2 linked regions of the Cricetulus griseus genome follow. The protein of the gene in region 1 purifies or fractionates together with the protein of each later gene. This does not show direct contact. Links are inferred from orthologs where the notes say so. Each region holds a gene or a part of one and is shown on either strand. Other genes may lie near its edges. The genes, in order: Slc7a14 and Golgi membrane protein 1.

Region 1 (4,601 bases):
AAAGTCAGCAGAACTCCTTACCATATAATATTCCAAAGTAAGGAAGTGCCCAAAACATTTTCTGTTTTATTTGAAAGCCAAATTAGAAACAACCCCATGAGTGGCATGGCCCCTCTTAAGAATCATAGATCTAATTTTACATTCTTTTTTTTTTTGCAAATGAAGATATTTTGTTCACAAAGAATATGCCCAGCATCACAGATCAAATCTTGGCAAGCAAGAAGTACATAGGAGTGGAGGCAGCTGAGTGCCTCCTGTGAGCCAGGTCTTGTCCTCAGCTGCTTGCATATCTGTGCTGACCTGCCTAACACATTAACACCAAGCAGATGACTTTGCTACTGGAGTTGTTGGGTCAGAGCTAGGTCCCAGCAGCCCTGATGAACTAGGTTCACCAACCTGTCCTCAAGCCATATGGTGACTTGAATGAGAAATGTCCCTCATAGGCTCATGTATTCAAGCACTTGATTCCCAGCTGGTGGCACTATTTGGGAGGACTATAGAAATTTTAGGATGTGGAGCCTTGCTGGAGGAAGTACATCAGTAGGCTGTGAGATTTTATAGCCTTGCCATGCTCCTGCTCCTTCTCAGCTTCCTGTGTGTGATTGAAAGCGTGATTAGCCAGTTTCCTACTCCTGCTGTCATGCTTTCCCTGTCATGATGGACTTTGCCCCTCTGGAACCATAAGCCAAAAGAAACCCTGAGTTGCTCTTGTCAGAATATTTTACCACCGCAACAGAAAACTAACGACTACAATGGACAAGTGAAAGAGACAAACGGACAACTAAAAGCAGAAAGGAGAGATGTATTCAGTGTTGCAACACTGAGAAGGAAAACAAAAAGATTGAGCCCCTCTTCCAAGTCCATCTTCAGGGTCCTAGCATGAGATCTAGGTTTAAATAGATGGCTGTTTGAAGGTATGCATAGCTAAGCAGCCCTTTTCAGTGGTCCCAACATCAATATTCAGGGCCTCAGTCTTTCCTGTGAGGTGTTCTAACAAGTTGTCAGACTGTGTGAAATATCTTTCTAGGGGATGGATTCTCCAAGCTGGCACCAGGGCCCCAACTTTTTCCTTCTCCCAGCATGAGATTCCTAGAGAAAATCTAATTCCTTGAAGTATGGTTGAAATTACAAAGAGAGGCTACACCCATCTTTTCAGACTATTTTCATTCTGGTCAAGACTTTATTGGCCTGTAAAGAGCTAAGACTGAAGCACAGAGAAAGGAAATGACCTATAGCAGGTATTAGAATAAACCAGCTTCTGGGATGATTATGAGACAAGGGGCAGGCTTCAGGCTGTCATATGAGAACTGGAAGGGAGCTCAGAAGGGAGAACACAGAAATGGAGAGGCACAAATGACAGCCTCATTGCACCTGTTCCTGAGGCAATGCCCAATGTGTCTCCCAGTCATGGTTTGCTTCTTACCTTCTTTCTTGTGTTTCTCTTCCAGACGTTCATGCCCAAGTCAATGCTGCACTGGGTCCCACTGGGCCTTTCTTAAAAGGACACACACTCATTGCTCCATGTGTTCCAGGATCATCCACTAAGTCTTCTGTAGTTCTTTTCCATCAGTGAGCCTTCACTGTAACCCTCCCGTTCAAGATGAGTGGCTTTCTGGCCTCACTGGACCCCCGGCGGGTGCAGTGGGGGGCTGCCTGGTATGCGATGCACTCTCGGATCCTGCGTACCAAACCAGTGGAATCCATGCTGGAAGGGACTGGAACTACCACAGCACATGGTACCAAGCTAGCTCAGGTACTCACCACTGTGGACCTCATCTCTCTTGGAGTCGGCAGCTGTGTGGGCACTGGCATGTATGTGGTGTCTGGCCTTGTGGCCAAGGAAATGGCAGGACCTGGTGTCATTGTGTCCTTCATCATTGCTGCTGTTGCATCTATATTATCAGGTAAGTGTCTAAGGGAGGGATGTCCCATGTCAAGGTTGCTTGCTGACATGGTTGCTGCTCATTTCACTCTTTCAGAATATCTATTACAACATTTGTTTATTTGTGTGTTGCGGGAGCACATGCCAGAGCCTGTGTGTGGAGGCCAGAAGACAACTTGTGGGAGTCAGTTCTCCCCGGCCACCAGATGGGTCCTGGAGATTGAACCCATGCTGACAGTGTGAGCAGGAGACACCTTCCCACTCAACCATCTCCCCAGCCTCTTCTAGAACAGTTGGTAATGAGCTGCACAAAGGGGCAGTGAATTGGCTTATTTGGTTTTTCTGGTCTCCAATACTGCTAGGTAGACAGGGGACTAGGTTTCGACCTGATTGTAATAGCTTCCGTTTTCTGTGGTTTTCAGTATAAGCAACTATTCTGATGTCCAGGCTCTGGTCTCCCAGCTTCTCCCTCTCTGTTCTGCTAGTTACTCTATTTCTGTTTTAATGCTGCTTTTCCTTGGAAGATGGGTTGGGTCTCCTAGCAAGAGGAACAGAGCACACAACCAGCATAAAATAATAGCAAAGGATGTGCAGAGTAACAAAACAGCAAGTCAGTTACTTGGACATGACTGGGATTTGATCAGCCTCAAGCTGGCACTGGGAGGCAGAAGCCAAGAAAAGGGATCTAGTGCTATTGGAGATATACAACACTTTCTGCCTCAACAAACAAACCCATCACCTACAGGGAGGGCAGCAGCCCCTCTTGCCCTTGACCCAGGGTCACACAACTAATTCAAAAGCGGGATGCCAAGGCCTACACATTGGTAGTTTGTGGAATGACTCTCCTATTGCCTTTCTCCCTTTTCTTCATTTTCTCTAGAGCTGTAGGCCATAGTATCTTCCCAGAGGACCACAAGTAGGTCAATAGACAACTTTTAAAAAAGAAGAAGAAAAGATAAAAGGAAAGGAAAGGAAAGGAAAGGAAAGGAAAGGAAAGGAAAGGAAAGGAAAGGAAAAGAATAGCATCTTGGAGACCACAGCACAAAACATGAGATTTTGCTGGGCATGGGGCTACTGATTGTGTGTGTCGGCTGATGTATTGGCAGTGAGTGTTTGGGCTGTTCAACTGTTTCAGGCACAGCATATCTAATGCAGAACAGGAGTGTTACGATAAATCTTTCTGCCATAAGCCACCCGAGCCCTACCACCACATGGGCGGTCTCCGCCAGCCACCTGAGTTCTGCCGGCCATGTGGATGGACAAAATAACACAGAGACTTGTATTATGTACAGATGCTGCTTGACCAATGACTAGGATTCTCATCTGTTAGCTCAGTCTTATTTATCATAAATCTATATATTTTATAAGACTTATCTTATTGGACACCATCCATTGGTGTCCTCCTTTGCAGGTGGGTGGATCACATGGTGCCACTGGAGCAGGAGCCAAGGGGAAAAGGGGAAGGAGAGGGCTTCCATGTGCTGTGGCCCCTTAAGAGCCCATGCCGAGTCATCCTGACCTCACCTTGACCACGCCTTGACAGGTGTGGTCAGGCACACCTGTAGCCAGCCTCTAACAGGTGTGGCTTACTGTCCCCTACACAGGAGTTCTGTGACTTGTGTCCAGCATCACATGAAAATCCTACAGTACCATTCCTCACTATTAAATATTAGTATTTAGTCTCCGTCCATGAAGTAATAAGACAGATTACAAACAGCAAACTCAAAAGTTTACTGGCTGCTACCTGATGCTTTTCATTTAGTAACAATCCACTAGAACCAAGCCTCACAGTCAACTCTACCCAACCCCTTCCCTGGAATCACCCTTTCTTCTGCATGAAAACGCTAACAAACTGGATTTATGCAGATTAAAGGACTTCTGTCCCTTCAAAATGAATGCATTGCTCACATGAATGAATTACCTAGCTGCTTGAAATAAGTAATGTGACTTCAATTCTTCCCAAATTGTATTGACAAAAATGATACATCACTGGTTTATGGCTCTAAAAGGAATATCATTATAGAAGTGATTAGAGATGGCATAACAAGGGGCAGGCATCCTGCTAGAGGGTTATCCTAGTGTCATTTATGTTGCTGTAATAAAATACTCTAGCCTGAAGCAACTTAAGGTAGAAAAAGGGTTGTTTCAGTTCGGTCCAGCACTGTGGGTGAAGTCACAGCAACAGAATCTTGAAACAGCTGACCACGGACAGGAACAGGAAGGAGATAATGCATCCGTGATCACTTGCCTGTTTGGTAGTGCTCAACTCCATTTTTTCTTCTGTGGTCTTCAACAGTTCAGGACACCATCAAGGGTACAGTGCACACCCACAGTGGGCTGGGTCTTCCCACATCAAATAACTTAAAGACAATCTCCTGTGGACATGCCCACAAACCAACCCAATGTAAACAATCCTTCATTAAGGCTCTTTTCCCAGGTGACACAGGGCCATAGGATAGACACCTAAATCCCTGCCAGTTAATGAGTACTGCACAGCTTTCCCCAGACCCCATTCTAGTTGGGTACAGTGCCCAGGCTGAGATGACTCCTGTATGAGGGAGGCAAATCATCCCTCACATACAATTGCATCCTGGGAGCCCATCCCCCACCTCAGTGCTCACAGCACTGTATAGTATCTACTTCTTCATCACTGGAATGGAGAGCTCAGAGCTATCCAGCCAGTATGATGCTGGAGCCACTGTGCACCAGCTCTTTGCAG
Region 2 (4,399 bases), on another chromosome or scaffold:
GAAGGCCTCACCCTCCCTGGGGAGCAGAAAGGGTATGGGATGGGTAGGGTGTTAGTTGGGGGGGCAGGGGAGGAGGGGGGAGAGAGGGAACTGGGATTAACATGTAAAATAATTTTGTTTCTAATTTAAATAAAAAAATGGAGGGGAAAAAAGCATTTAATTGGGGCTGGCTTACAGTTTCAAAGGGAGTCCAGGACCATCAAGGTGGGGGCCATGGCGGTGGAGCAGTAGCCAAGATCTGATGTCTTAACCACAAAGGGAGGAGGAGAGCTGGGAACTGAACCTCAAAGTCCAGCACAGTGACACACCTACCCCAACAAGGCCACACCTCCTAATCCTCCCTAACAACTGGGAAGCAAACATGCAAATGCATCAGCCCTGTGGGGGCCAGTCTCATTCAAACTACCACAAGTTGTTTATTGGAAAGATAAAAACGGGTGGGGGTATGGATGAGGTCATCAGGCACTGCTCAGTTGTTTATTGTTGTGGGGGTTTAAGGAGATGTTCAGAGTGAACCTGCTTCCTCACCCAGATAGGGAAACTGGGAACCCTTGAAAGAGATTCTGCAACTGTTCTCAAACCCCAGCCACTTATTAAAAAACGTGCAAAAGAGCCCCGCAGCCCCTGGAGAGACGGCTCAGGGGTTAAGAGCACTTTCAGAGGTCCTAACTTCAATTCCCAGCAACCACATGGTGGCTCACAACCATCTGTTATGAGATCTGGTGCCCTCTTCTGGCACGCACTGTATACATGATAAATAAATAAATATTAAAAAAAAAAGTGCAAAAGAATCCCAGCACTGGGGAGGCAGAGAAAGGATCTCTGTGAGTTCAAGGCCAGCCTGGTTTACAGAGCGAGTGCCAGGACAGCCAGGGCTACACAGAGAAACCTTGTCTTGAAAAGACAAAACAAAACAAAAAACCGTGAGGATAATACCAGTGTTCAGAGCCAGAACCCAGGGCCGTGCACCCCAATAGCCAGCAACGGTAAGTGCAGCCAGAGAAGCAGAGGCCGGAGGGACACCACGAGTTCGAGGCCATCCTTGGGCTGCACAGTGAGCCAGGTCCTGAAAGACAAAATCCTGCTTCGCCGCTACCTCGGAGGTCATCGTTTGCGGTGTGGCGGGTGGGTGGGCGGGGAGGCGATGGCTCAGGCCTGGAGGACTGAGCGCAGGGCGGCTCGCACAGGGCGGCTCGCACAGGGCGGCTCGCACAGGGCGGCTCGCACAGGGCGGCTCGCACAGGGCGGCTCGCACAGGGCGGGGAGGAGGGCGGCGCCGCGGGGCTGGGGCCTGGGCTGCAGCTCCGCCGGAAGTGCCCGCCCGTCTGCCCGCCCGCCGGGGCTGCTTCGGCGGAGAACGCTCTCGCACGGCGACCGGACCCGGCGCCCCGCAGCCCGCAGCCCCGCAGCCCGCGGCCGGCAGGTGAGCGCCGCGCCTCTCCCGCGGGACGCAGCGCGGGCAGCCGCCTGCTGCCGCCGCCTCCCGCATCCTCCTCCACCCTTCGCCATCCCCTCTTCTCTGTCTCTCCCGCCTCCCTCCTCTGCCCTCCCCGGCAAACCCTGCAAGTGGCCCGCGAGTCCCCGGGGTCGCCCGCCACAGGCAGCCGCAGCCGACTTTCTGGGATGCTCCTTGCCGGGGTGGAACTACCTAACAACTTGTTGCGTGCTAGAAGCGCTCGCTGGGGTTTTGATACTCTTCTGTGTTTAAAAATGTTAACGATTACTTTAAAAATGTAAGACAAGATTGGGAAACAATCCCAGTTTTGATGAGCCCCTTTCTAGCGATTTATGCATGGTGAATTGGTTGGGAAAGTCACCAAGGGCTAGCCATTTCCAGGTATCGCATCTCGAAGTCTGCTGTTTTTTTTTTTTTTTTTTTATTTAGCTTTCAAGGTTTGAGGCTTTCTTTGTCTGGTTACGGGGTCTCAGGGCCCTACTTTTTTTTTTTTTTTTTCCATACTGAGGAATGTTCTTTAGAAGTGGGGTAAAATGCACACCAGTTTGATGAACTGTTCAGCGGTGATGGAGTGACTGACCATGGAGTGAATGATGAATGGCCATCGCTCGGGTCAGATTTGACGGTTTTATTTCCGAAGGTGATGGCCGGGGTGCCTGGGAAGCTACAATCAGTAGTGTTGGGTGTTAGGGCATTGCAACTCATGCTACTCATCTTAAGAAAGAGAGGCTCAGTCACTTCCCCTTGTAAATAGAAAACAATAGTCGGTAGACTACTGAAGACTCTGTCAGGGCAGACACTCCTGAAAGTTTTCATGGACAGTAAGTTTCATTCTTAAGAAGTGTAAAGAAAATATGTTGGTTTTTTAAGGCCTAATTCTCCCTCTTAGGGAGTGCTTATTATGTTTTCCCACATTTAAATGAATAAGTTTTGTGCAAAAATAACAGAAATGTTGCTTGTAGGGAAGCCTGTGTGTGTATGTGTGAGTGTGTGTCTGTGTGTCTGTGTGTGAGAGTGTGTGTGAGTGTGTGAGTATGTGTGTATGTGTGTGTGAGTGTGAGTGTGTGTGAGTGTGTGTGAGTGTGTGTGAGTGTGTGAGTGTGTGTGAGAGTGTGTGTATGTGAGTGTGTGTATATGTGTGTGTGAGTGTGAGTGTGTGTGTGTGAGTGTGAGAGTGTGTGTATGTGAGTATGTGTGTGTGTGTCTGTGTGTGTGTATGTGAGTGTGAGTGGTGTGTATGTGAGTGAGTGGTGTGTGTGTGAGTGTGTGAGTGGTGTGTGTGTGTGAGAGTGTGAGTGTGTGTATGTGTGTGTGTGTGTGTGTCTGTGTGTGTGTGTGTGTGTGTGTGGTGGAGGTGATGAGACACTGTGACCTGTTCTGGCCTTAGGCCTTGAAGTCCGTGTGCTTTTTCCTTACTGGTGGCAAGTCTGGCTATTGATGGGGATGGGAAGGGTTTACATGTGTTTGTTTTTAGGGGTAGGGCACAAAGAGCAGGGAGCTCTTTCTATGTGTTTCCATGGCCACCTCCTGCAGGGAAGGCCTGCCAGTGTCCTGTTCAAAGTGCCAGAGTAGTAAAGATAGGACCTGGGAACAGGCCCCTGTGGGGCAGTTGGGGTGGGGGTGGGGGAAGGGAGTTTGGGCCTGAGGAGCAGCCCTGCCCCTGGGAGTCCTGGGTGCTGAGGGGAAAGAAGGGAGGTTGTGAGCCCTTTGCTTTTCCCTCGAGTTTCTTTACATGGTTGTCACTTTTTCTTCCTTTAAAAAAATTCAGGGTTTAGGACCTAACATGAAAAATAACATCCATAATTTCTTTTAGAAAGCAATTCTTGATTGGGAAAAGAAAAAAAATAAAGGTAGGAGAAGTGGCCTTAAAATACCTTTCCTGCTGGGGAAATGGCTCTGGAGTGTGAGTGCAGGAGCTTCGCCCCACCGTGAAAAGCCACATGTGCCCTGCGACCCCAACTCCCAACTGGTTGGACAGGACACAGACCCCAGGAGTCTCCACACAGCTGGTCCAGAAGAGTCAGTGAAATGCCCTGGCTCAAAAGTGAGTGAGAGATCCACAGAGGGGGAGATGCTGCACATGGAGGGGGCACCCCCCACATGTGTGCACGCCAACATGTGAACATGCATAACACACACACAGCCCCCCACATGTGTGCACGCCAACATGTGAACATGCATAACATACACACAGCCCCCCACATGTGTGCACACCAACATGTAAACATGCATAACACACACACAGCCCCCCGCATGTGTGCACACCGACATGTAAACATGCATAACACACACACAGCCCCCCACATGTGTGCACACCGACATGTAAACATGCATAACACACACACAGCCCCCTGCATGTGTGCACACCAACATGTAAACATGCATAACACACACACAGCCCCCCACATGTGTACACACCAACATGTAGGCATGCATAACACACATATAGGCTTTAGCTTTAATCTTGGAAACCGAAAGATTGAACACTTTAAAAATTCTGTGACAGTTTCACACCTAAAAAATCCCCACAGGATCCCAGGCTTTGAAGTTACTGGTGGAATTAGTTAGGGAAAGACTTGGCTTGAAGTTTTCAGGTGTTTCGATCCCCAGAGTGACTGGGATCTGCGTGCCTGACACAAATGCTCACATAGACTGTTACATGGTGACGGTAGCTTATGTCTCAGTCTGATCATTTCCATTTCCAAAGCTGGCGCCCCCTCCCTGTATGTGTTTTTACTTCTCTATAAACGACGTGTGTGTACTAATTACCCTCATGTTATTTCACTTTTAGCTGATATTGCTGCCATGTCAGTGGGGGGTTAGCGCATGCTTCAAATCTTTCACTTAATTTGGGACCATTTCCTGTGGGGTCTGCTTATATCCTGGGGGTTTTTACTTAGTGCAGGGCTCATGTTCAGAGCCTGTGCCTCGCCTGGCCTATTT

Evidence for each region.
Region 2: the proteins of Slc7a14 (region 1) and Golgi membrane protein 1 purify together in Homo sapiens (co-immunoprecipitation; 3 studies listed by BioGRID and IntAct, with this or other methods). This does not show direct contact. The link is inferred for Cricetulus griseus from reciprocal best matches to the Homo sapiens genes SLC7A14 and GOLM1.

The regions. Positions count from the first base shown.
Region 1 is NW_023276806.1:119,888,573-119,893,173, reverse strand, and holds the start of Slc7a14 (probable cationic amino acid transporter), read left to right. Parts: upstream 1-1,600; coding exon 1,601-1,904; intron 1,905-4,601. UniProt on the Homo sapiens protein: Imports 4-aminobutanoate (GABA) into lysosomes. May act as a GABA sensor that regulates mTORC2-dependent INS signaling and gluconeogenesis. The transport mechanism and substrate selectivity remain to be elucidated.
Region 2 is NC_048596.1:278,768,904-278,773,302, reverse strand, and holds the start of Golgi membrane protein 1, read left to right. Parts: upstream 1-1,316; 5' UTR 1,317-1,423; intron 1,424-4,399.